2 linked regions of the Kluyveromyces lactis genome follow. The protein of the gene in region 1 interacts with the protein of each later gene in a pairwise test. Links are inferred from orthologs where the notes say so. Each region holds a gene or a part of one and is shown on either strand. Other genes may lie near its edges.

Region 1 (12,250 bases):
TAGAAGCTCTCCATAGAGCAGTGGATTGGCCCAAATGTACACCAGCGGCCATTAGCTTTTCAATGGATACTTGCTGTAAAGATGGCGGGTTGAAAACGTCCTTGTGTGGGAAATACACGTCTTGTATATTAGCACCTAATTTGGATGTATGAGCGGCATGTTTTAATTGACGTACATATAATTCTTGTTCCGAATAAGGCTTTTCTTTACTGGTGTGCGACAAATATGGGAACTCTCTAGTATGTAATGGTTGGGACAAAACTTTTGAACTAAAGTCGAACTTGTTGGTATCCTCTGGTAGATCTAAAACTTTGTTATATTTCGAGTACTTCCTCAAAAATGCAGTCAATTTCTCATCCAATTGTTGTTCTTTCTCAGTCAATGGCGACTTCAACTTGGTTTCCAGATCTCCTAACTCTTCTATTGGTGTGTTCATTGCCTGATGTAAAAGCTGAGATATACTCCCGTTAAATTCCGATTGACGAGCCGCTGCTACATCCACAGATTGTAATTCTTCACCATTCTCGCCTTTTATAGCATTGGACTCATCGCTGGAACTAGCCTTTGATGAAGAACTTTGCAGTCTCACTGCACCTGATCTTAAGGCAAATGGCGCCCTCCCCACCAAATTTTTGGTGCAGTATCTAACAGACATTCCGGACAAATGATACAGTTCTCACTATAAGGTGAAGGTAACACTCAAAATGTCGACTAAATCACTTCCTTTACCTTTTACCTTCTTCAAATCATCGTAATTTAATATACCAAACGCTACGATAACCAACTGTCCAATTCACCAATTCAATAAAATTTTCCAGATCATTGTATACGAGTTGATACTTTGATATATTCTCAGTAATTAAATATCACGTGTTTTATGTGGTCTAAGTATCAACATTTCAAACCGTCAAGGCTATTACGCATCTGAAACAATTAATGTACCGGCTTACAAGCGTGAAATTAATTTATTAGGATAAGGTATTTCCTAGTAGGATAGCATTGGTTAAGATTATTTTTCATCCTTATAAACCGATGGAAGATGTACTGCGTGATGTATTGGACCGTAACAAGAAAGTTCTAGTTATAGCAGTTGGCGTTAAGGCTCGAAGTTTCTTCGAGCAAGATCTACGGGAAAACAAGACGCATTTCTTTAACAGTATTGATGATATAGTCAGGGGACGATCCAACGTGCGGATTCTGTTCCTTGATAAATTACAGTATTTATATATGTACTTGACATATGTCGAGATTGAGCTCCAGAATAAAGGAAACACATCGATGTGCTATGAAGAAATTATCATCTACGGTTTAGAGTCCCTGTTAATGACGAAAGAACAATTGGAATCAGAAGAGACACAGAAAACTCTTGATCTGTCAATCTCCCAGCTGCGACATTGTAACCTCATCCTTCATGGATCGCTTCGACTGGAAAATCAGTACGCTGTGCGTATCAGAATGGTGTCAGCGACAGATCTGGGAATGATGTCTCAAGGTTGGAAGAATCTGACCGAATATTGGCAGTACGTGTATTCGATAAAGGATTCCTAGAGAAGAGATTAATGTACAAAGGAGAAATATATAGGTTATGATTATATATATATATTTATAGTTTATCACTGCAATGCTTTCTTATTTTTGGATTTATTTCGAATCCATGTTGATATTGATCTGTTCCACACTAGAAGTTTCGTTATCGTAGTATGCGGCAACCTTCACCCTGAATTCAGCAGCTGCTATACCAAATTGTTTCAAGATCAATGCTTGAGTAACATCTAGAGTTTTGCCCTTTTCACAGACCAAGTATGGAGATTCGATGGTAATCTTACCATTCTTAATTTTGGTTGGAATCTTGAACTTGTTTCTTAGAGTTGGTTCCAGAGAATGTATCATAGGCACATCTTCTTCTTCTGGGATTTGACCACCACGAGAGTATACAATACCGGCTGGAATGGTAAAAGACAATGGAGCCTTTGATTTTGGTCTGGAGAAATCAGCTCTCACATATGCCTTGAAGTAATCTTCCACTACATCGACAGGTTCGTTGGTAAATAATAGACCAGTAACACCAGAACAGTGCTTACATAGTTTGGCCAAGTTCTCCTTGTACTCTTCCTCTGGCTTTTCACCTAACGCTTTCACCAACACCTTCCTCTTACCCATGATTAACTTGGATCCAACCCAAGAACTTCTAATCTCTTGCAAAACTGGAGTTCTCACATCTTCCAAATGTAAAACCCAAGCGTATCTGAAAGAATCCAAGGCTTCTCTAACTTCATCGAATATCCTTTCCTTGTTCTCTCTACCCTTCTTATCGGTTTGGGCCAATGTAACCAACTTTGAACGCTTAGATCTTGGCATCGTATCTGGGTTGGTATATGTAGTAGCTTGATGATAAAGAGTAACGAAAAGTAAACAATTATCAGAACACTATTCAATTACAGAAGAGAGATAAATAAAGAGGAATACAACTGATAGAATATAGCGATTAGTACTGTTGATCAGTTTAAACTATGAAAGGTCCATCGAGTAGATGCGATGAGATGAGCTTTCTCAAACTGAAAAATTTGCGCCTTTCTTTTTCTTTCTAGTTGTGAGTCACGTGATTTGATTTTTCCAAACGGAAAGTAACGACCTCTGACACAAAGTGAATCGGTAAGACATATACCGGCTCTTTTGCAATGCTCTAGGGCCATTCTCATAAGCTCGGTTAGAGAGGTTTATTCTAAGGAACTGCAAAACCAAACTCCGGTATGAATTCCCTTGACTGATTTCTGAGTCTCTCACTCATTGCCAATGAGACAATAGATCTCAATTCAACACAAATATCAAGACTAGAAAGGCACAGATAGGGCATGATCGTGTATCGGGCAAGTAGATATAGTGGTAATGATTTAACCTATTACCGGAGATGTATTGTAAATGGGGAAGTAAACTTAGTCACGTGACTCATTACTTGTGGCGACGGGTATTGTGTATATTTTCCTCAGATAAAACCGCAGTGTACCGGACCAAAATGTACCTTAAAAGTTCAGAGTCAGGAAATTGCAATCTCAGTACATATTTAGCAGGAAACAAACTAGTTGGTTTGATATGAACAGCCGGCGAGTTAAACATACCTCTTGTATTGCTTGCCAAAGTCTAACAACCTCTAAGATACCAATTATTAAGGTGGTAAGAGATACCGGGTTGTGAACTAGAAATTTTAGATAGTAATTTTGCCTCTTATTTGTGATTTGAAACAGGAAAGGGTTTTGAAAAGATGAGTTATTACGATGGCGATGGCGACTATATCATATATGAAGATGCGAACGGTAGCCATGAAAGTGATGATGTTGAATCTGGCGAATATTCTTATCCAGAGGATGAAGATGATTTAGAGTTTGTCCATCACGATGATGATGATGATGAAGACGAAGACGGGGAAGAAGATGGATCGCAAGGAGAGCAGTTGGACGAAGATCAAGATGAAGATCAAGACGATGAGGAAGTAGAAGGTGAGATAGGGAATGTTTATCATGAAAGCCGTTCTGGGGACCGTGCGGACAGGATTTCGTTTCTACAAGATATTGTTTCTCGTCTAGCGGATCAAAGATCTGGTGAAAGTGGGGATGGTGATGTTGCTGAAGGCGAGGAAGCTGATTCGGAGCGTGCATTTGGACGTTCATTGCCAGATCTGTTGCAAGAACTAGGAAGGTCTGAAGGGTTTTTCGGTGTTAGCAGAGGAAATTCTCGGTATTTGAAATTGATTGAGAATGTGCTTCAAGCTGAAGACGATCCGTATATTGCTATGGAATCTCTCCGGGAATTATCTGAACAGCTATTGATGTTAAACCCTTTGATCGCTGATCGAATCATCCCATCTGGCAAGTTAATGGACGCTTTGATCCATGTATTGTCTAGCCCATTATTACAAGCAGAGTTGGAGTTACAATTAATTGCTTGTAGGTGTCTCTATAACTACTATGAGATGAACCCAGAAATGATAGAGGTTTCGGTTAATAGAGATATTATTGAGATATTGAGAGGGAAATTGAATGAGATAAGCTATATCGATTTGGCAGAACAAGTTTTGGAGTGTTTAGAGTTCATTTCAAGGGTACATGGATCTAAGATTTTAAGAAGCGGTACCCTTCTCTCTTGTTTGCAATATTTGGATTTCTTTACCGTCCATGCGCAGAAAAAATCATTATCTATCGTTGCGAACTCATGTGCTAGGGCTAAGGAAAGTGACTTCGAGGTGGTATCAGAGATTTTCCCCATCTTGAAATCTATCTTCCTAAATAGTACAAATCCAGTAATTTTGAAGCCAGTTCTCATAACACTTTACAGCATTTCAGGATCTTTGAACAAGAAATCATTATCTAAACTCTTTGACTTCGAGTTGGTTAAAAGGTTATTGTCGTTGTTATCTTCTTCAGAGATTGAACGTGAATCTGTTTTGAAAGTCTTGGATATTTCATCACTCTTGGTCTCCACCAATGTTGAATTGTCAAAACAAATCCTATTGGATTGTGAGTTGAACAAAGTTATTCAAAACGTTTTCCAGTCTTATAAGAAATCAGCATCTTCCACCTTCAGTGAAACTTTGATTTATGTTCCTAAAGAGCTTTTGTTGTCGGTAACAACTTTCCTCTTACTTTTGCTCCCAACTGAAGATTCTCAAATCTTGACAGCCGATGAGGTCAAAGTTTTCACATTTGACGGAAATGAGGATAAATTCCTTGAACTAGTCAATGAGTTGATTCCTTGTTTGGTGGAAATATATTCCAATACAGTGGATACTAAGATTAGATATACAGTTCTTGTTGCATTGGCTAGGGTGTTCACGTCTATACCTCATGGCTACGATATTCCTAGTTCGTCCGTTATTAACATAATATCCTCTGGTCTCATCAATGGTTCAAATGCGCAACAAGATCATATGAAGACTGAGACCAGTGCAGTACTAGTAGCACTGCTTTCGTTAATTTCTATCATGATGTCTAATAATCCGGATTTGTATCTACCGAAACTAAGAAAAGAAGGTATACCAGATGCTTTAACCTCTTTGAATTCTCACTACAGTTATGAGCTCAGCAAGAAAGATAGTATTGATAAACAGGAATCGTCATCAGATGAAGCCGAGAAGTCAGGATATCATATACGTCCGGAAAACTCTGATTCTCATCCTGTTTTTGGATCTGATTCTGACATTGAAGATGAAGATGATGATGAAGAAAAAGACAGTTACAGGATGGAGTACGACGACATGAACATACCTGAATTTGTCAAACCGAGAAAAATCCGCATTAATATCTACGATCATTTGACTCCTTATTACCTAATAAAACATGTTTCCATGTTTAGTGCTACACTACTAGAGTTGTTTTCATCTAACCAAGAAGAAGTCTCCAGCGAGCTTTCTGAAATTAATGCTGTTGTCACTAAGATGAAGGAACTGGATGTTCAATCTGATTCCGAACAATATTGGATGGATTTCTGGACTGCTGTAAAATCCTCATTATTTGATGATATGTCCAACATATCTGGCTTCGAGCTCATTTCCACTGGTCTCATTGATTCTATGGCTAATATCTTTGAAACTGATTCAACGAAACAATCATTCTCCAAGAGGACTTTTCTGAAAGTGTTCGAGGAAAAATTGCCTGAATTTGTGAAGCTACTACAAAATGCATTGTCTAGGACGGAAACCTTTGCCATCCTAGATGCTGGTGCCAGTAGCAACGATTCTCCAAGTGCCTCGTTAATCAAACAGATGAAAATAAGATTAGTTCATGAGCCGGCCGATGATGAAGTGGGAAAAGATACTGTTCCAGAAACTCTTCAAGATGTTGTAATTGCCGTGCATTGCGTTGCATCTTTGAAAACACTTGATGAATTCTTGAAACACAAGATTGTGCAATCGGAATTTTTGACTTCTATCATTCCGAGCATGAGTCGTGCTAATCAACAAGCCAACCCTACAAATGTTGCCAAAGAACTTGAAAACATACAATTTGACTTTTCGTTGAATGACCATCTTTTAGATCAATCGTCAACTATTTACTCTATTATATTCAAAGAGGCGATGAAAGAAGGGTTACCCACAACGAGTATCTGGACTAACGTACCTACTTTTAAGTTCAAGAAATCAGTAAAAAGAAGGGAGTCACATCAATTGCATGTGCTTTACCCCGATACAGCTTTTGAAGGGGCGGATTTGAAGCCTGTCAATGGTATTTTGACAGTTCTACAATGTTGCCAACATAAATCACTCCCAGCATCTATTTATGTGAATCCAAAGATTAGTGCTAAGCTTTCCCGTCAACTTGAAGAGCCACTTATTGTGGCATGTGGGGTCTTACCAAGTTGGGTCCTCGATATCACGAGAAAATATGGATTTTTGTTTCCATTTGAAACTAGAATGAACTTCTTACAGAATACATCATATGGATATGGCAGATTGATCCAATACTGGAGGGAAAAGCTGGCAGATCAGCACCATAGTAACCCTACTGAAAATCCATTGCATCAATTAGGCAGGTTGACTAGACACAAGTTGAGGGTTTCAAGAGACTCACTATTTTTGTCCGGCATCAAAATTCTAAAAAAGTATGGTTCTTCGCCAAACGTATTGGAGATCGAATACAAAGATGAAGAAGGTACAGGGTTAGGACCCACTCTCGAATTTTACTCTTTGATGTCGAAAGAATTTGCAAGGAAGTCTCTAAAAATGTGGAAGACCAATAGTGATACCAGTGATGATGAGGAGGAGTATGTGACAGGTGCATTGTTCCCTGGACCATTATTGGGCACCACCGAGGAGAATAACGAAAAGACTTTGAAATTATTCGAAAACTTGGGGACCTTAGTCGCTAGGTCAATGTTAGATAATAGGATTCTCGATTTTAGATTTAACGCTGTTTTCTTCGAGTTGATGCACAAATGCTGCAAGAATGATCGACTTGACCTAGAAGACTTCGAAACTTGTATCCACCTCGTAGGACAGTTTGATGTTCAACTAGGAAAATCACTCGCATTTTTGTATGATAATCGTCATGATGACTCTATCAAAAACCTTGACCTATATTTCATGCTGCCTGGTTATGATATAGAATTGTTGGAAGGTGGTTCGAAAATCTTAGTTGAATCTTTCAACGTGGAAGAGTACTTGATTCGTGTCTTTGACCAATTTTTGGGCAAAGGCGTAGATATGCAGCTCGCTGCCTTCAGGAACGGATTTTCGAAATCATTCCCTTATTCATCATTGCTAATCTTAACTCCGACAGAACTATCCGATTTGTTTGGTGCAGTTGCTGAAGATTGGTCTGTGCAAACGCTATACTCATCCATTCATGCAGACCATGGCTACTCGATGGATTCTCCAATCATAACAGACCTCATAGATATTTTGTCGAATTTTTCGACACAACAGAAACGTTTGTTCTTACAATTCATCACTGGCTCTCCGAAACTACCTCTTGGCGGTTTCAAAAACTTAAAACCCAAATTCACAGTAGTCCTGAAGCACCCAGATGGGAACATCTCGGCAGACCATTGCCTACCTAGCGTTATGACATGCGCCAATTACTTGAAACTACCAAAATACTCTGATAAACTGGTACTCAAAGATCGTATTGCACAAGCAATGACTGAAGGTTCCGGAGCCTTCCTATTGTCATAGAATATGTATATAACTACATAGAGATGTCTGTAGATCTAACCATACTCCACCCTAACTAAAGATTTCAATACCACATACTTTCGTGACATGTGACAGGATTTACTCTTTGGGATTGGCGAAAATGTTGAAACTGAAATTTAAAGCTTAAGAGTTTAAACAAACGGAATGTAAAGATCAGATGGTATGCATGTTTATAAGCAGATTAGAGAAACGAGCAAGCTCAATTGTTGCTTTAACTGTGGCTTGTGTTAGAACTAGGTTTTAAATTTTATTAATCAGGCTATCTCTGCCGATTTGACAAGTATTTCAGAGAGTAATACCAGGTAATACCATCTTCTTTTGGATCTTTTTAATAACAAGCACACATTATTTGTTTGTTTTGGCGAGAGTGTGATTTTAGCAATCAAAAGACGTTCGTTACACTGAATTACACAACAGGCTCTCGTTTTTAAGTTAGAAGGAGGTGAAGGTAGAAAGAATTTTACAGAGCACGTTTTGTCATTTCTTTCATTGTTTATCTGACTTGATCTTCTATTCTTTGAACAAAGTAATCTAGCTTTTTTTCTGACAGAAATTAACACGGCCACAGCAGGCTTTGTTACTGACGGTTGTATGCTCTAGAAATCATTACAGACCTGTTTGTGTTTTTCGGAATACCTTTCCTTTTTGTTCGGTCGATAGAATTAACCACAAGACATCTTTTGACACAGGCCTTTTTTTTTTGATAGAAGCTACTACACTCACTACTTTGTCTCCATATAATGACGGATACTGGATATACTGAAGAATTGTTACCAGGCACATTTGATGCGCTTTCCGTGAGAGAAAATGGTGGCAATACAGAAAGTGACACCAGTAGCATACGCAAAAGTCAAAATCAAGATTCAAAACAAGAGGATGTACATCGTGAAAATCTTTCAGTACAAACTCTAGAGGATCATACAGAAGTAACGGAGACTAGGGAACAATCTGTCTCAAAAGATCTCTTTGATTTACCTCGTGCACCAGCGAGTTTGGATGTGAAAGGATTACAAGAATCAGACGAAGATCATTACGTCAAAGACCTTTCAGATTATAAATCTATGGATCCAGGGAAACCGGGCACCGTACCAACAAATGTTTCGGAAATTTTTAATAGTAACCAGCCAACTTTGGATGAACCGATACAATTTACAAGAGTCTCTTCCAGTTCTGTGTTAAGTGAAAGTATATCGGAAGGTGATGCAGATTTAATATCGCATCTAGAAGGAAAAGTGGAAGAAGGAAATAATTTGACTTCGAAGGAGACGCCAGGGACAATTGAATCTATTGTTGGAGATAAGACGATGTCAACTATAGAAGGTTCCTCCCAAAATATAGGTAGAATATCTACTGGCGGGAGGATGACACCTGATCTCTCTCTTATGGGCGGGGCCCTGGAAACTTCTTCTGACTTCCTAAATTCCACACAAACCTCAAATTCTCCAAAGATTACAACACCTATAACTGAAGTTGATGCCAATGATGTATATGAGTCCCCGCTAAATGAGATATTATCATCTACAGATAGTTTCAACAAGGCATCGACAGCGTCTGCAGATCATTCGAAACACGTAAGTGTGCATGAAGTAATACCTGAAGAAGAACCACATCCAGAAACAACAAATGAGGATCCTCCAATTAAAACTCCCGTAATGGTGAATAACTTTTTCGAAAATCAAACACCAGTATCAGAATCAAGATCCCCCTTCAGAACCATTTCTTCTCCGTTTTCTTCTCTGAGGAAAAACGTTAAGAGTCAGCATGGGACGCCTGACCACTCCCAGAGGAATTCTAATTCCTCCACCTCCTCTAATGATGTTAAGAGGAAGACCGGTACTAAGAAGAAAGGTGTTTTCTCAACATTCGTTCAAAACATCAAGAGGAACTCACACTCAGAGAAAAGAATTTCTAGCGGAAGCGGTAATGGAAGTGGAAATAATGCATTTAAGATCTCTACTCCTTATAATGCTAAGCATGTTTATCATGTAGGTGTTGACTCCAAAACAGGGGAATATACAGGGTTACCAAATGAATGGGAGAAACTTTTAACTTCCAGTGGCATTAGTATGAAAGAACAACAGCAACATCCCCAGGCTGTGATGGATATTGTAAAATTCTACCAAGATGTTACTGAAAACTCTGGAGAAGAGAAAGTCTTCAAGACTTTCAAAGTAGGAGGTGGCTCTGGTGCAAACATTGCATCTACACCTTCTTTCAGAACCCCATCAACTGCATCAGTACAGAAGTTCGAAACTCCGCAAATGCAAACAGATGCAACTTTTCCGAATGAAAACAATGATACCCCATACTCTAGTAACTTACAGGGTCCGCTGCTCACTAACGATTTCAGTGAAACTGTGAACAACGAAAAGTTCATACCGACTCGGCCTGCTCCAAAACCTCAAGGTTCCTCCACAGTTAGCCGTAGGGTCGAAATCCCTTCACCAATCAATTCGCTTGGCCATGGAACACCAAAAGTGCAAAGAAGTGATACTCAGTCATCAAGCATTTTCTCATTCAAGAAGATGCCAACATTGAAAAGTGAGCAACCATTACCTCCTATTCCAAAGGCTGCAGAAAAACCAGCAAATTTATTGCCTGCAAGAGCGGCTCCTACTCCACCAAAACCTGCAATTCCTACAACACCGGAACAATCCTCAATACCTGCAATTCCTTCCGGGCTTGCTGTGGAAGTGAAAGAGGAATCGAATACTTCTAATGTCCAGACAAGAAAGGCCCAGGAAAAAAAGAGGGAAGAGAGGAAAAGAAAGAATCAACAAATTCAATCAAAATTAACCGAGATTTGCACAACAGGAGACCCAAGCAAACTGTACAAGAATCTGATCAAAATCGGACAAGGTGCATCAGGAGGAGTTTACACAGCGTATGAATTGGGCACAAATGCTTCAGTAGCAATAAAACAGATGAATTTGGAGAAACAACCCAAGAAAGAGTTAATTGTGAATGAAATTCTGGTCATGAAAGGAAGCAAACACAACAACATTGTTAATTTCATTGATTCATACCTATTTAGAGGTGATTTATGGGTTGTCATGGAATACATGGAAGGTGGTTCGTTGACTGATGTCGTTACGCACTGTATATTGACTGAAGGGCAAATCGGTGCCGTCTCTAGAGAAACACTCAAGGGTTTACAGTTTTTGCATTCAAAGGGAGTCATTCATAGAGATATTAAATCAGACAATATTTTGCTATCCATGAACGGAGACATCAAACTAACAGATTTCGGTTTTTGTGCTCAGATTAACGAGGTAAATTTGAAGAGAACGACGATGGTTGGTACTCCGTACTGGATGGCCCCAGAAGTCGTATCAAGAAAAGAATATGGACCAAAGGTTGATATTTGGTCTCTTGGTATTATGATCATTGAAATGATAGAAGGTGAACCACCATATCTGAATGAGACACCACTAAGAGCTCTATATTTGATCGCTACCAATGGTACGCCAAAGCTAAAGGATCCTGGAAATTTAAGTCATAAAATGGCTATGTTCTTAAATTGGTGTTTAATGGTTGATCCAGAGGACAGAGGAACCGCAGCAGATCTTCTTGAAGATCCATTTATCACTGAAATTGCGGAAGAGAACACCTCCCTTGCACCGTTGGTTAAACTGGCAAGGATGAAGAAACTAGCAGAAAGTATGGAAGATGATGAAAACGATGAAGACAAATACGATGAACAATCATAATCATTTCTGTTTTACGGCATTACATGAATTTAAAACTTTATTTTTTCTATATAGAATAGTTGTGTTATTAATATTTCATTCACATTAGGTAGATGTGAGACTCATATCGCTCGAAGATTTATTAGAAGACATCTCCGAATCTTCAAAAATGTCATCTGCACCATTAAAATCTTCAGGGACGGTTGTTTGAACGAAGAAAAGTTGCGCTTCTGTCATTCCTTTATTGAGAAAACCGTAAGTGTTGAACGCCGGTACTTGAAAAGAAGAACCCGTTGTACACACAAACTTGTTATCACCCACAGATATTTCAACAACACCTTTAACAACGAAAAAATTGATAAAAGCGTTATGTGAATCACTAGGGGTCTTTTCTCCATCGAGCGGAAGCTTAAGCATACCGCTGGCAAACCTTTCTTTGTGTTTATCGAATAAAATCGATAAAGTAAATTTATCCTGGTTTGTGCTTGTAACCTGTTCAGTTTGTGCTAACCCAGGAGCAAAAGCCAATATATTCTGTTCTTTCTTCTCATCAGCTGTAACATTGACCTTTGATTGAAGAATACCTTGTTTCAGCCATTCAGCATTTGGATAAGTTCCTTGCTGAATATCTTGAATAATTGGAGCGTTTGGATCGGTAATGTTCTGATCATCCACAGGCTTAATTTTCCGTGGTCGACCTCTAGGTTTACCGGACGGAATGTAGTTATACGGTCTTGTCTTGGTTTTCATTACCTGCTTTTTAGCACGTTTACTTTTCAGTAGTTGCTCCTCTTCTTCATCCTGATCATGATCATACGTGATAATTTTTTCAATCTCAAGGACAGGCTTCTCTGATTTTCTCTTGTACACGATCTTT
Region 2 (16,890 bases), on another chromosome or scaffold:
CACGAAATAGAGGGAGAAGGTTCACAAGATGAGGAAGAGACGCCGTTAGATGACGACGAAGAATCGGAGGAGGAAGACTCCGCTGAATGTGGGAGAAATATGTTTCCAGATGACGTTTCGGAAGTGGGCTCTGTGGATTCAATAAATTTCAATGACCTTCGCGATGATTTTGAGGAAATGCAAGAAAATGATGACAGTGATGATGGAAATGAAGAGGGAAGTGCCGACGATTTAGCTGCTGTAAGGGAACTATATCAACCTCCGCTTGATAAGTTAGTAAACGAAATTCCAGAGCAATTACACTTCTTGAAGTTAGTGCCCCAACAAATAAACATATGGGTCGGATCTGCCAGTGAAAAGGATAGTGATCAAAGTTTTCTTGGCAATTTCGACCCGAACGATGAAAAATTAGGTCTTGGACGAAATATTCCAGGAGGTGGATCATCATCTGGACTTCATCATGATCATGCCGATAACATATATATTCCTGTAAGTGGCCGTAAAAGGTTTACCTTGTTTGCTCCGTCAGATGTCACTAAGATGTACACCGTTGGAGACGTAGCCAACTTATATGATACTGGGATCATTAATTACAAACGTAACGAAAATGCACCTACATGGGATAAGCTACGAGCCGACGGTGCTATTGAAACACAATATGCGCAGTATAAGCTTGATGATCCAAACATCCCAGAACCAGATAGAAAAGAGTACAATATGATACTAACTAATGAATCGGAAAATGACATCAAGAAGCCGACCGATAATCAATCGACATTAGACCCGCCTTCCTTTTCTACGATTCCACCAACCGTGGTTCATTTAGACAAGATAGAAGATCAAGAATTAAGAAACAATATTGAAGAACTTGCTAGGAAAAAATGGCCCAAATTTTTCACAGCTCATCGGACGACAATAGACTTGAAGCCTGGTGAAATGCTATTCCTTCCTACCGGATGGTTTCATGAAGTCACTTCTTTTGGGTCAACAGACGGTAATAAAGACAGCCATGATATTCATGTAGCTGTAAATTACTGGCTTATGCCACCAACTGGAAATTCCATTAACAACATGTATAAGGATGGCTACTGGAACAGTTACATGGACAGCATCTCGAATGCCTTGCAACGCGTAAGACAAAAATCGGACAGACTTTAAACAAGGCACGAAGCGGCACCCTCTTGTGACTGTTTTCCAGATAAGGAAATTTGTTCTTTTTGTTATCGAAATTCCTGCGAAAATCCCCAACTAAGATGACTCCATCGCATGTGATGTATGGGTGTTAACTTAAATCCTTCCTTGACTTGTTTCTATGAATAGTTAATATGCACGCATATGATGAATATCTAAGCAAACTTTAAGTAAGTACTGGTAAATTAAGATATCATGCACTCACTCAAGATAAATTGCTGCTGAATAGAAGGTCTTGTTTCCATATTATTTTCTGATCGGAACCCACGCAGAATCTCCTTTTTTTTTTTTTTTGACAATCTGAAAATCTAATCGTTCTCTGCGTAATTCGTCACTTATCCGATTTAAGTCATATTCAACTTGAGTGGAACTTCTTGCAATTCCACTCTTGCTAACTGATTATTGAAAACCCAAAGTGACAGTTATACAAACTAGTGAAAAAGCCGATCTTGTTGGAACGCATAGCTGCTAGCATCCTTCATAGTTCTGCCTTTTTTTTATCTCTATCTGTTTGAATCAGAAGTCCGTTAAGTTTTGAAAAAAAACCAAACCTTAACTTGACGGCCGTGGTGTCTTTTTGTTTCTGGATTATCTAGGAAATAACACTGGAGTCAGGATCATTTGACGGTTCCGTAAACCCATTTGTGTTTGATTTTAGCAATTCTTTTTTCTTACCAACTGTTCCTGTGTTGTGTCAGCGTCGTTTTTCCCCTCTGAAACGACATATTTTTATTGAGAAAATATATCTATTGATACAGGCTCAAGAAGTAGGTTGGAATAGCTGCCAATACATTTATCATACTGGTAAGTGCAGTTTATACAAGAATTCCTTCATAATTTCCCTGTTTTGGTGTCTAAGAGATTTTAATTAATTATTCTGGGCCCTTTTATCTTTTTTTTTATCGAAACATCACCAAGGTACTGATTCACAACAGCAATATTTTATTTCATTTTTTTCTCAGACCTTACATTGTTAAGTTGAAGTGTTCTTTTCTTTGAAAGTTCTTTAACAATATCTATATTTTTTCCAACCGTCAATATTTTTAACTCAGTTGCAAAAAATATCCTTCATTAATTTATCTTTTTCAAGATGGCCTTGGCAAATTCCAGACCATTGGATATTCCTACACTGGACGATGAACTTATTGCAAATTCAAAGTCGCCATTGTTTGATGCAAGCACTTTAGCTAACAGTGCCAAAGCTTTTCCAGAGTCTGAGTCTGACAAAACCAAGCCTAGTGGGAAGCATGATTCGAAAGCGAAAAAGAACTCTAATGGATCACTTGCTTCTTCTCAGTTAACCGATGTCGTCTCCATTTCGAAAACGATTCCAGTGACAGGAGAAAGACCGAAACCAGAAAACAATGGCCCCACCTTAAATGAAGATGATGTGTTGTACGCAATTTTTGTCATTTTATGGGAAAGCGATCCAGGCCAACAAGGTATGACTGTCAAACAGTTATGTGATTTATTATTGGAAAAGCACCCTGAAATGAACAATTTGTCAACAAAACTCTCTAACTTGATATCTGCAAAACTGAATGCGTATGTCAAAAAAGTTGAGAAGGGTGAAAAGGGCCTTTCTTATGCTCTTTCTCGTGAATGGTCTGATGCATCTCCCAGAAGAATGGTGTACATCTATCGCGGTATTCTCGCACCTGACTATCAAAAACACGCTCAAGCTGCAGCTGCAGCTTTAGCTGCAGCTTCAACTCAGTTATCTGATAATGGTTCAAACCCAATGGGAAAGAACAAGACAAAATCTAAGAAGCAATTGGCTAAGAGCACCTCAGACTTAGGAATGGAAATTGACGGATCACAGAGTACAGATTACAAGGATGGGGCAATCCCTAGAAGTTCAAGTGCTATGAGTGGTCTCAAATCATCTACTTTCTCTGCGGGCAATTTTGTTAATGATTTCAACATCCCTTATATGTCCTCACCAGTATCAGTTAGCTTAACACCAAAATTGGAAGAGCTGTCTTTGTCTCATGTGTCTAATGATCTCGACATAGATTCTCATATCACCCTGACAGGTAAGAGATTGTCTATGGGCCAAGATCGTCCTGGCAAAAAGATGAAAATGGAGCAAGTTTCAAACTCTCTAGAGTTACAAGCGGGTCAAGTTCAACAACAACAACCTGTATACATAACAATTGCTAGTTCTACTCCAAGACTTTCAAGGAATTCATCTAAACACCACGATTCAAACAATACTGCGACAAGTTCCGAGACTGCGCAGACCGTTGCAGAAATTCTCAAAACTGTAGTAACGCAGAATCCTATTGTTATAACTCCAAGGTCTTCGAAGGCTTCGTCACCACTTGCTTCCGCGGCAAGCAGCCAAGACTATACGAAACATACAAAGGAAAAAAGCTGCCAATGGTTACGCTCTTTGAGAGATGGCTTTTTGCTGGAGGAAATTCCAACCCCAGAATCTCTCTCTCCTGATGAGCTTGATGAATTTTTCACATAACGTATTATCTGTTCATTTTCCCCCTTTTTTATGTTAGAGAGGCTATATTATAATGTCAACTTCTATCCCGGTGAACCTGACTCTCTTACCAGCTTCGAATCGGATTCATCGGTCTTTCAGGTCCAATCTGATTCGTATATCCTGTATTATTATCAAACTTCTTTTTTGCAACTATTCTTTGCTATACTGTGAACGTAGAAATTCATCTACCGCTGCCAGTATTTTGCATCTTATTAGTCACCATCTATTTCCCACATTCATGTCATGTTACGTTATTCTCTAGGTCATACGTTGCTTTATTTGTAGTTAAGTATGACTATAGATTGGTATTTTTATTATTTTCATACATATGTATGTATTAAAGCAATCCGGTTTTATCATTATCTTTGCTTTCACAACTGTTGTTAGCCGCAAAGTTTACATATCCCTTAAAAATCATACATTGGGAAGGATGCCAAGTGTTACAACAACCTCAGTGCAGCTTCTCCACAGGTACTTCATAGCATGATTAACCTGTATTCCGTTACTGATGTAGCAAAAATTACGACATCTTTATTAGAAATACTTGAAAAAATATCAAAAAATTAAATATTTCAGTTTTCATATTAGAAAATCAGAGTCATTGAAAAATTTGGCGATATGATTATATATTCTGATATCGTATTTAACAGAAGAGCTCATCGTCATATGATGGTTTTTGAAAGGTAAGAAGCGACCCAAAAATTAATTGAAGAAGGACTTAAAAAAAAACAGGGTACGACCATCGACGGATTTACGGAAACATTCAAGTGTTCTGTAGTCTTTCATCAGTTATAATGTTATACAGACAGGTTTTGAAAAGGCCGGCCACGGTGCAAAAGTACGTCAGTCCAGTCGTCTCTAATGGACTTGTCAGATACTTTGCATCTACTCCCCAGAAGCTACAATTGCACTTGCAATATTTCGGTAACAGTGCGAAGCGGTTGCATGTTATAACTCGATCATTTTCAACTACTTCTCGTAAATGGCAGTCTGTAGAGATACCATTTCAGAAAATGACAGAGGACCAGCAAGAGGCTTTGACAACTGAAAGACCAGTAGATAAGGTAGATTTATGCATTGTAGGTGGTGGGCCGGCAGGGTTAGCTGCTGCCATTAAGTTCAAACAACTAGACAATGAACATGGTAACGGAGAATTGCGTGTTGTCGTCTTAGAGAAGGCTCCGGATATGGGCTCACACATTGTTTCCGGTGTTATCTTAGAACCAAGGGCATTAAGGGAGTTGTTTCCTGAAAGCGAATATTACGACGAGGATGGTAATGGGATTCCTCTTCCTCCAGAGCTAGTTACCAAGGTAGAACAGGAGGAGCTGAAATATTTGGTCGGGAATATCGCGTTACCGGTCCCAGAGCCTCCACAGATGATGAACATAAACAAGAACTACATAGCATCTTTATCACAAGTGGTTAGGTACTTGGCAGAACAAGCCGAAGAGTTAGGAGTTGAAGTATTTCCTGGTATCTCTGTCTCCGAGGTGATTTATGGTGACGATGGTGAATCCGTTATCGGTGTTGCAACTAAAGATATGGGTATATCGAAGACCGGTGAACCCAAGGAAACATTCGAAAGAGGAATGGAATTCCATGCTAGACAAACGATGTTTGCCGAAGGTTGCCACGGTTCCTTGTCAAAAGAACTAATAAAGAAGTTCAAGTTAAGACATGAAAGAGACAATCAAACATACGGTTTAGGAATCAAAGAAGTGTGGGAAGTAAAACCTGAAAACTTCAATAAGGGCTTTGTTGCACATACTATGGGATATCCTTTAACTAATGACGTGTATGGAGGTGGCTTTCTGTACCACTTTGGTGAGGGTTTAGTAACAGTAGGTTTAGTCGTGGGTTTAGATTACAAGAATCCATACGTGTCACCATACCAGGAATTCCAAAAAATGAAACTGCATCCTTATTACAAAAAAATCCTTTCTGGAGGTACCTGCATAGGTTATGCAGCTAGAGCTCTAAATGAAGGTGGTCTCCAATCAGTTCCTAAATTGAACTTCCCTGGTGGATGTTTGATCGGTGCTTCAGCAGGTTTCATGAACGTTCCTAAAATCAAAGGTACACATACTGCAATGAAGAGTGGTATGCTAGCAGCAGAAAAGTCCTTCGAAGAGATCATAAAGTTGCCAACCTTGGAAGAATTAGAAGCGAGTGAAACTGAAAAACTTGTCGCACATCCAATTAACCTAGAGTCTTACGAGACCGCATTCAAAGAGTCATGGATATATGAAGAGCTTTATGAAGTGCGTAATATTAGGCCTTCATTCGGAGCAACACCACTAGGGGGTTTCGGTGGTATGGCATACTCAGGTGTTGATTCTTACATACTCAAAGGCAGAGTTCCATGGACGTTCCATCACCATGCATCAGATGCTGCTATAACAGCATCTGCAGATAAATACAAACCCATAGATTATCCAAAACCCGATGGAAAGATTACCTTTGATATCTTAACATCAGTATCAAGAACTGGAACGTATCACGATGATGACGAAAAATGCCATTTAAGAGTCCCTGAGCAAGATATGGAAAAACATACTAGTATTGCGTATCCAAAATGGAAGGGAATCGAATCAAGATTTTGTCCAGCTGGTGTTTATGAGTATGTTGAAGACGAAACCTCCCCATTGGGTGTGAAATTCCAGATTAACTCACAAAATTGTATTCATTGTAAAACCTGTGACATCAAGGTTCCAACTCAGGACATTAATTGGGAAGTTCCTGAGGGAGGTGATGGTCCAAAGTACACACTTACCTGAGTTTGTTAAATTAGTCAGAGTAAAATTTGGCCTGAAATATTTATTTATCTAATATAATTTATTTATTCATATCTGTAAAATATGATTTTCATTAATAACTGAACTTATATTAAATCAACCAAGTGAACCTGTCAAACTGGAATTGTCTTCATTTACCTTTGAAAAACGCCAAAAAGTGAAATCTATGTATAATACAATCAAAGGTAAAATATTATTAATATGTCTCAGTTTGTATAAGCCCAAACGTTCAATAGTCTTTCATTACTCTCTTTCAGCATATCTTTTACAACATACCAATCATCATCACTTTCCAACATCACAAAATCACCATCTTCATCCTGGTATTTTACCTTCGTGATTACTCCTAAATGTGCCAATTTCCTTTTAATCGCAAGCAACAGATCTTCCGCAGAACAGTCTAAGGATACTAAGACTGTGTAAAAATCGTTGTTGAATGAGACCCTCAGTAGAAGCATAGTGTCAGGGATTGAATTTTTGTAACTTTCGGATATAGATCTGTATTCGCTTGCAAATGACTGACGGGCATTGGACATATGGCTTTTGGGAAGGACTTCTGAGATTTGTCTGGTCAGAGTGCTACCAATGGAGGCAACACTGTTGTGAGAATATTGGACTGGTGAGGAGAATGACGACATATCGCTATTCGTATTGACACTTTTATAGGACTCGCTGCGAATTTGACGAAGAAGCTGATGAAGGCAGCTTTCCCAGTTGTTGCGGGTTTCTTCATTTTTGAATTTTAGTATGAAGTTCCCCTTTTCCTTGGCTGATTCCCAAATAATGTTCAGGGAATAGTTATCAATCGGAGCGACTTGAGTCAGGTTAACTATCATAATTCGACCTCTTAAATCCAGTTTCCCAGTGTTCTTCGTGAAATCATTCATGTTAGTGTTCGAAGAGTTTGAAAGATGAAGAACAGATGATGAATTCGATTTCTTTTTTAAACTTATTGAGCTTCCTTTCTTCTGGCTTACCTCACTGAATAATAGTATGATTTTTTCGAATAGATACACTTCAAAATCTTTTTCTGGCTCATTGGAATTGCTCGTTGATATTGATATTCTATCAAAGTACAATAACTCACCAAACTTAGCGATGCGGTAACCCTTCCAATTTACCACACGACCATAGAGACGTTTGACAACCTCGTAATTTTCTGTTCTCCTTTGATTTTCGTTAATATTCCTTGCAATGGATTTGGCAATACCCAAGGCAATCTCCAATTCTTTAGAATCACTTTCTGCGTGTTGTAAAAGATCTTTGAGAAGTAATGGGTATCTACACAATCTTTGGACTGGTTTGAGAAGGAATGATTGCAGTTCCATTTTATTACCGATGACAAAATTAGTGCTATTTGGGTTCATTTTGTTGAAACTAGACGAAATGAAATCAATCGCTGCATTTTGACCTATGGACCAAGGTTCATATAGCTTGAAGAAATATTTGGAATGCATGAATAAGGCCCCGATTCTTTGTTTTTGAGATGGAACTTGACCGTTGACTTCTAATGACACTAAAAACCGTCTTTGGAAATCGATTATGTCATTCAAATTGGGGAACAGCATGTACAGTTCTTCCGAGTTGATAATTTGGTTGTCTAAAAGTTGCTTCCTATACTTATTCAGAACTTCTAGATCATGCACGTACTTTCTCTCAGTCTCGATGAATTCTTTGACAATTTTATCATATTCTGTCTGTGGTTTCGCAAGACGTTGAGATTCCAACTGTGTGCTCATATCAATTTGTGGGAATACTTCAGGTGCAGCATTCAGCAACGTATTCACAACGTCCAAAACTTTCAAGAAATGATCTGTCGAATTTGAAAAAACGTCAGAAATGGTGAACAGTTCTTCGTCATTAAATGCAAAATGTTGTTTCAGACCAAGAATGAAGTCGTAGATAGATTTTTTACAAATCTTAATATCATCTGACGAGACCACCGTTAGCTTAGATTGAGGTCTTACGGCATTGAATATAATACAAAGTGGCGAACCCTGTTGAAATAGTTTAGAAAGTTGCGTTACAGGGTCACAATCGACAGATATAGGCGTAATACCAACAGAAAAAGTCAGTAAAGTGTCCTCCATATTAAAGGACTGAGAATGCTCAGAGTCCTCTCCAAAACTCGTAGCCGAGAAACTAGAGTCCCTATGAAGAGTACTTGAGGAGGAAAGTCTACCATTTGTACTTTGTGCACTACTACCTTCGTAATGCGAACCTCGCTGCCGATGTTGCTGCTGTGACTGCTGTTTCTGCGATAAAAGCAGGGCTTGGTGTTCTGCTAGAATCTCTGAACTCGAATGCGCTAAATTCAAATATGGTTGGAGCTGTGGCAGAAACTCTAATCTCTTCTTGATCATTAAACACATATGATATAATGACTCCTGTGCTGTCACCTTTTTGTTCATTAATAAATGTGTGCTATTTGAACGCACACTCGTCAGCGAAACATTGGATACTGATGGATTTACCGCCATTATGGCAGGCTGCAACTAAAACAGAATTATTCTCTGACACTCCTAGATAGTAAAAACCTTGTTTGTACAGCTCTGGAAGACTTACAACGATAAGAATTATTTTAACTTCACTTCGAAGACACTGGCTGTTTCGTTAATTTCAGTATTGTTTTATTCTATTCTTTTTTTTTTTTTCTTTCAAGAGTAATGTCAATACTGAGATCTCTGGGTCAAAACCTTTGGGGCCCGAAAACATTGTTGTGGATCAAATTCTGGAGGTTCTTTTTATATAGGAGATACTTCTCAGTGGTATTTAAGAGTATAACACCAATTAGCGGCACTTGCCAGGTGTCGTGTAATAATCCTACATATCTGGCATTGAATATTGATATACGCTAGAGTTTCGTTCTATAACTGGAAAATAAGAATTACAAGTGTCAAACTCACACATAACTTCTATATATGTACTTTTATAGAACAGTAGTACAATTTCTCTTTCTATCTATCTTTGCTTAAGAGCTCTTCTTACCCCAAATAGATTTTTGTGCTCTGTATGTGATTTTGTCAATGACAGTACCAACTGCCAAGACACCACCAATACTTGTGATACAATTCAAAAGGAAACCAGACCATGATGTTGCATGCTGTTCTTTATTTATGACTTTTAAAGGCGACATCTCAAAATTGAAGAAAACACCTGGGACACCTCCTTTAGAATGAACAGTGTTTGGATGGTCTTCGTCCCTGCCCCCTCTTAGAGGCCTATCGTGGTACGTGGCGCTGAATTGAGTAGTTTCAACTTTTTTACCATCTAAGAATTCGAATCTGGTAGGAATGATCTTGCAGAAGTATGAGAACTCATGGAAGTGTGTGTCGCGGTCTGGGAACACTTGGCGGCTGTCTAATGGTGAAATTGAAGCAGAACCGATCAATTCGCTGTCTCCATCCTTGGGTTTCTCTCCAAACGTCAAGGTGTTGATTATATGGTTGAAGTTCAAATGTGGGTATGCATCGTATAGCGAAGTGTCGTGGAAATGGCCACGGATATTACGCATTGAACTACCTGGACCGAAGTGGATGGTACCTTGTATTCTGTTTAATTGAGCACGTCCTTGAACACGACAACCTTCATGTATTCTGGCATTGATGCTCTCAACATATCCTTCACGTTCACATTGTTCCACACCTTTACCATCCTTGAATGCCCATCCTTTTTGTCCGTAGGCTGCACGCACATCGTCACAAGTTTGACAGCATACTTTTTGATCTTGTGGTAGCTCGTCATTCTTTGATTGGTCTAATGCACCATAACATGGTCCACAGTATCCTTCTTCGTTGAAGCTTTGCTTTGATGATTTGTCACCAACTTGGAACTTCTCCTTAGAGAGTTCCTTCCCTTCTGGGCTAATTCTGATCTTCGTGAATCCCGAATCTAATAGGTTAATCTGAAATTCCCCAGAATCGTCTAATATATCTAGATTTAATACGTTACATGGCATCGAAGGAAATGTCACATCCAAGTTGAGATCCAACTTCAAATGACGGTCTCTATCAACCACGAGATCAGGTCTAGTGACAATAGTGCTGAATTGCTTCCATTCGCTCACCAATAACAACATCGTTATAATGATACATGACACCGTGATTAATCCACCTGTTCGTGTACGGACACGGACATCCTCCTCTGTTTTACCAAAAGCATCGATGGAAAGTAACGGCGATTTCTTCATCTTGACAAATTTGTGTAGACAGATACTTGCGTTAGCGAATTCTCCGTGAGTAGTGTAGTATTTCCGTATCCTAAACCTATTCTATTCCTATGAGCATGTGTAATTGTGAATGCTAGTATATGTCAAATTGGAATTGATTTTGATATTTTTTCACTTTTGCCTATATTCAAAATCAGATTGAGAAGCAACCTAACCTGTACCAAATATACATGAATACTGACAACTGTATATACACACACTGACCATTCGGTGTGAGGTCCAATGTCAGGTTGAATAGTAGTTGATAAACTGTAAGTTTGATTGATATATACTGATTTACATGTTATTATATAAAATTAAGCTTTGATTAGCAATAAAAGTTGAATAAAATTGCGTTGATGCTTCGTGTTAACGTTCATGAATCAGGTAAACAGAGTATGGTAAAATATTGTGTGACATTTGCAGCAAGGAATGTGATTTGATCCGATGCTTAGGAATCATTGCTTTCATTATATTTCTATTATTACATGGTTATGAGAGGCTCAGTTAAAGAAATGGATGGATCGCAAATATAACAAGTAACACAAAGTATCCTCTTGCTCGCGGCTACATACGCAGATTTCTTTACCTTATAATAAATCTAACATACAAGCAGATTACCTGGCGTATGGGTGGTATCCACGTCTATCTCTGCTTCCACCGCCATACCCATTACCACCACGGCGGGAATCACGATCACGGCCACCACCTCCGCGATAGTTTGAAGATGGGCCACGACAGCTGTCACGGTCGCGGTTAGACGAGCCATAACTGCTACGATCAGAGTTGCGATCGTATGCTCTGTGTCCTGAACGACGAGAATCATCACGGCTTGATGAATTATCGTATCTTGAGTCATCTCCAGATTCTACTCCACTGTTACTACGGTTGCCATTATTTGAGCTCCCAATAGTAGTGACACCATTACTGTCGTCGTTGTGTTGAGGGGTGGATGAATGGCTTGGTGGAGATCCTGCACCACTTTGAGAAGGTTGTTGGCCTGCAGGAAGACCGCCCATCATACCCATCATCTGTTGCATTTGTTGCATTTGCTGTTGGAACATTTGAGTATAATCGATACCAGTTTGTTGTTGCATTTGTTGATAATACTCTTGCATCTTAGTGTAGTATTCGTTCATCGATTGAGGGTTGAAACCAGTGGCCATCATAGGATTGAAACCGCCTGCCATCATTGGATTTTGGAACATCTGATACTGTTGCATTGGGTTGCTCATATTTTGTCCCATTGGTTGAGTCATTTGAGGTTGTTTTTGCTTTTGTAATTGTCTAGGTTCAGCTCTCTTGATTTCTATTTGTTTACCCTTGAACTCAATAAATTTGTTTTGACAAACTCTGTCAACTGCATCTGGTGTATCATAAGTAATGAAACCAAAGCCTCTAGATCTACCAGTATCTTTGTCTAACATTAGTTGGGCATCAATGATGGATCCCCATTGAGAGAAAAATTCTTCAAATTCTTTTGGTCTGACGTCTGGACCAATACCACCAACGAAAATTTTACCAGTCTTATCTTGTTCTTCCCTTGGAATGGCTCTCTTTGGATCGATAACCTTACCGTCTAAGATATGTTGTGTTTTAACGACTTCATCGACACTAGAAGCGTTTTCAAATGTCAAGAACCCAAAACCTCTGGACCTACCGGTAGCAGTGTCCTTCATAATCTTAACTTCAGCGACTGCACCGTATTTGCTGAAGTAATCACGTAAACCCTCTTCGGTGGTTTCCCAATTTAGACCACCAATGAACATCTTGTTAATGTCACGAGACAAATCAGCTTTGATAGCCTTTGGTTCATGCTGAGATGCAGTTTGTTGCAATTGAGACATAGTCTGTTGCAATTGTTGCAACTGTGACATATCTGGCATACCTGGCATCTGTGGCATTTGAGGCATCTGCAGCATTTCAGGAACGGAAGCACTGTAGTTTTCCTTGTTATTGTTTTCAGCCTTGTCATTATTGGATGCAAGATTAGAATCTGGTTGATTATTTGAAGAGGCAACCTGCTGTTGCAGTTGTGACAGGTTAGATGACAAAGCCTGTAAAGCTGCTAGTTGATCTAATTGAGATGTTGCCGCGGTGGTGTTTGTGCTACTACTATTAGCCTCTTTATTGGTAGTTGAAGCTTGATCTTTGTGATCATCTGTCGAGCTATTACTAACGTTATTTTGATTATTATTACTTTGAGTATTATTTTGATTATCTGTAGATGTTGCAGTTGATGAAGTCGACTCGTTATTGTTCACCGTGGTTTGAGCGGTATTTTCATCACCGTAGATGTCGTTAAAATCTTCATCGTCTGATAAACTCATCTTGAATGCAATATTTCAATTTCTTCTTATTCGTCTACTTGTTGCACCGTTCACTTTACCACTTGGATTTTCTTAGTTCTGTACACTAAATATGATAAATCTGCAGTAAACGTTTGTAAATATAAGTACGATAACGCTGTGTAAGTTTCCTGCGCCGTTCCTCTTCCGCTCTACTTAAATGATCCTTGTTCTTTTTGTCTGTATGGGGATTTTATAGCTTAAACACAGCAACACACAGCAAAGTTTAATGTTATACGTTAAAAGTAGTAGTAGACGATAATAAAGTAATAACTGAGATCTAATACAGTACGAAAATAAAACAAATATGAGCTATTTCCGGTAACAATGGTTCCTCTCTCCTAGTTTGCAATTTCTAAAACTCTATTGAAAACAATCGGTATCTTATAAATGAAAAGAAAAAGAAAAAATACAGTGTAAATATTCTTTGTTCCGTTGATTATTTCGATTCGCTAATGATATACGGGTACTTCTATACTTTTGAATCCTATATCCTTCCCTAACTCGTTTTAGTGACTTGATTATCTCTTTAGACTGTCTAATCACCTGGAAAGTGGTAAACAAACAGGAAGAAACATTCTGCCCCTTCAATTTTTCTCCTGTACTGCTTTTATATTCAAATTAATTTTTTTTTTTTTCCAATGGCAACAACTTGGCCCCAAAAATTATTCGCTGTTCTTAGTGAAAAATTCATGCTTTAGGGCCTTTTTGGTTGTCATTTTGTCGATTTCGCCTTGCAAAAAAAGAAACTTTTTGACAACTCGTCCCAAAACTGCGCCCAAACAATCAGAAACACCGGGTAATGAAATCCTATATACCTTTCTTTACTCATTCAACGCCGACTTCAGCTAAACATGCAGAGAAAGCGAAATATCGAGATGAGCTGCGATGAGATGAGATCCTCTTTAATCGAAAGTGCGACTTCTCAGTTAATCACTTTTCGTACTTCCGGATTTAGAATTAATACAAACGCCAGTTATAACCATCATCTATGGCTAGGAAGCGGTATCTTTTGTTTATGGTGCAGGTGCACTTAAATTTCCGTCTAGCAGAATTGGAATCACTAGCGGATCTGCATGGAGTTGATGTCGACTTTTCGAGTTATTCTGTCGATTCACCATTCATGATAGTTACCTTGGAAAATGATAAGCAAGCCAGTGATTGGATTAGGAGATCGGTGCTTACAAGAGCCATTTATGAGTACTGGGGTGAAGGTAATACTTATGAGTCGTTGCACAAGAGTGTCCAAGCTCATCCCGAGTTTGAACAGTATAAGAGCGCAAATGAAAGAAAGAGTTTCAAGTTTGAATTTGAAAAGTTTGGTGGTAACGCGAAACAGGATATTTCTACGAGAGTGACAACCATTGAATCTTTCCAGTACCTTGAGTTGAAGGGACCCATCAAAATGAAAAATCCGGATGAAGTTTTTACGGTTATTGAAGAATACAAAGCTATCAGCGAAAATATCGGGGGTGAGGTTCCAGAAAAGATCTATTTCGGAAGGTTAATTCAACTAAGCGATCGTGCACGGGGTGCACTAGAGAAGTATGACTTGAAAAAGAGACCTTACAAAGGAACCACATCATTTGAAGCTGAATTATCACTGGTAAGTGCAAATATTGCACAGGTAAAACCAGCACATATAATGTATGATCCATTCGTTGGTACTGGTTCATTCCTGGTGGCTGGTGGCCATTATGGTGCTCTTGTCTTAGGGTCTGATATTGATGGTAGGATGATCAGAGGGAAGGGACAACAAACTATCAAGGCAAATTTCAAGTATTATAAAGAGTCTATCCAATTCCTGGACGTCATGACAATGGATTTTACGCATAATGCATTGAGAAAGGACTTTGTCATTGATACGATCCTTTGTGATCCTCCATACGGTATTAGAGAATCGATTAAAGTTCTTGGAGCAAAGGATCCGGAGAGATTTGCTGGGAAAGAGGATGTGGAAATTAACGGTCAAAAAGCTTATCTACTTAGAGACTATATTCCAACTAAAAAACCGTACTCTTTAGATTCCCTATTAGACGATTTGTTGGATTACGCAAGTCAAAGACTCCCCATTAATGGTAGATTGGCTTTCTGGATGCCCACTGCCAATGACGAGAATGTTGCAACTATAATTCCTCTTCATTCGAATTTGGAACTGAAGTATAACTGTGTTCAAGATTTCAATAAATGGTCTAGAAGATTATTGGTGTATATCAATAGAGGACACGAATTTAATGGACCCAACAATTCTGGTTTGAGTAGAACTGGTAATTTCAGAGATAGATACTTCAGCGGGTTCAATTGATATTATTGGACCTGATATAAGGCTAATAATAGACATCTGCTCACTCTAGCATTACACTATAATATGTATCATTAGTTAAAATACAAATTAATATTTATAAAATCGATATTATTACATTTATTATACACAAAGTTACAATGACTGACAATATTATACAATATTATACATATTCCTTGCATATCATCTTCCACTGCCAATACTTGGTATCATGACGCTATAACTTGAAATTCATTACTAAGTGCAGCAGGAACTCGTGGAGCCTGGGTTTGAACCATCGTCGTTTTGGTTATTCAATGGTTTATTCAAATCCACAGTTTTGGATTTATTCTTCATTAATCTCTGTCGCACGCCACGGGGAGTGCCTGGAATATCCTCCAAACTACTTTCACTATCTTCTGATTGGTCTGATGAAATTACTCTAAGCTCTCTGTCATCCTCATAACACCCGCTTTCTACCAAATCTTTAATAATAATATTGAATGTCCTTTCTACCACATTCTCCCATTTACAACTAACTTCAAAGTTACCTGATATTTTTATATTATAATCTTTCTCAATCCTGGAAATGAACTGAAGTACGTCTTCATGCGTAACTTTCCTTTCCTTATATAAATCGAGTTTGTTCCCCACTAGATAAAACCGTGTCATGCTCAAATTAGGAATATTCTCAATGGATTCAACCAACCAGAAGTTCAAGCAATTCAGGAAACTATTGAAGTCACATATATCATAACTTAAAATCACTCCATTAGATCCTTTATATAATGAAGAAATCATAGCATTCCTATATCTCTCTTGTCCAGCAGTGTCCCACATAATAACTCTGAAAAATCTATTGTCTATATTCACCAAATTTGTCTTTATATCTATCCCAATGGTCGAAGTAGTATTAATCTCAAAATCAGAATCATCAGCCATCGGGGAATTTTCGAAATCATTCAAAGAGTACCTCTTCCGTTTGGCAATACTCTTAACCCTATTTAGTTCAGATTTCGAGAAGCCATTACTTCCTGCAGGAGAGTTGTCGATATTTTTTTTGAAAGCTTTTGTACTTATCCTAGGTAGTTCATTGCAATATGATAATATCATTGCCGTTTTTCCCACTCCGGCGTCACCTATAAGTAATAGCTTGATATTAGATGAATCTGTCAAAGAATCGAAGGAAATATTTCTAGCATCATTGGGATTGATCCTTAGAAAGGAATGTCTAGATTGCTGTCCGGTAGGATTTCCATTGCTCAACCCCAGTCCCACAGAAGCCGTTGGTGGTGCTGAAGAGAAAAACCTTGGTTCTTCGGGAATTGTCGGTGATGAAGGCGCACTGATTATTAGAGAGCGACGTTTACGAGAAGTCATTACTTATACACTCATAAATGCAAAAAAAAAAAACACAAAACACAAACACACGCCAACTTCTACTGAGTGAATATTAGACTCTTCTTATGCAACGTATTCCTGGTAACTAACTCCAGGTGTCGTAATTTACTTCGAATTTGAAACACACAGGACCCTAAACACCAACACTATTAATCAAATAAGATAGG

Evidence for each region.
Region 2: the proteins of STE20 (region 1) and CDC24 interact in a two-hybrid assay, tested with the Saccharomyces cerevisiae proteins (3 studies listed by BioGRID, with this or other methods). The link is inferred for Kluyveromyces lactis from reciprocal best matches to the Saccharomyces cerevisiae genes STE20 and CDC24.

What each region holds. Positions count from the first base shown.
Region 1 is NC_006038.1:1,183,168-1,195,417, forward strand, and holds STE20 (mitogen-activated protein kinase kinase kinase kinase STE20), read left to right. Parts: upstream 1-8,424; coding exon 8,425-11,394; downstream 11,395-12,250. Other genes in the region: MRP4 (mitochondrial 37S ribosomal protein uS2m), read right to left, coding at 1-655; SHU1 (Shu1p), read left to right, coding at 1,033-1,548; mRNA turnover protein MRT4, read right to left, coding at 1,642-2,358; putative ubiquitin-protein ligase UFD4, read left to right, coding at 3,260-7,663; MIF2 (Mif2p), read right to left, coding at 11,479-12,250. UniProt on the Saccharomyces cerevisiae protein: MAP4K component of the MAPK pathway required for the mating pheromone response, haploid invasive growth and diploid pseudohyphal development. Links the pheromone response G-protein beta gamma subunits to downstream signaling components.
Region 2 is NC_006039.1:1,090,707-1,107,596, reverse strand, and holds CDC24 (Rho family guanine nucleotide exchange factor CDC24), read right to left. Parts: upstream 8,967-16,890; coding exon 6,693-8,966; downstream 1-6,692. Other genes in the region: KLLA0_C13035g (uncharacterized protein), read left to right, coding at 1-1,158; GDS1 (Gds1p), read left to right, coding at 2,282-3,667; CIR2 (electron-transferring-flavoprotein dehydrogenase), read left to right, coding at 4,483-6,468; retrograde cargo receptor ERV46, read right to left, coding at 9,458-10,675; HRP1 (Hrp1p), read right to left, coding at 11,311-13,023; TRM11 (tRNA (guanine-N2-)-methyltransferase), read left to right, coding at 14,033-15,346; Rab family GTPase YPT11, read right to left, coding at 15,581-16,702. UniProt on the Saccharomyces cerevisiae protein: Promotes the exchange of CDC42-bound GDP by GTP. Controls the polarity of calmodulin, and the calcium regulatory process of bud emergence. CDC24 may be involved in the initial selection and organization of the budding site.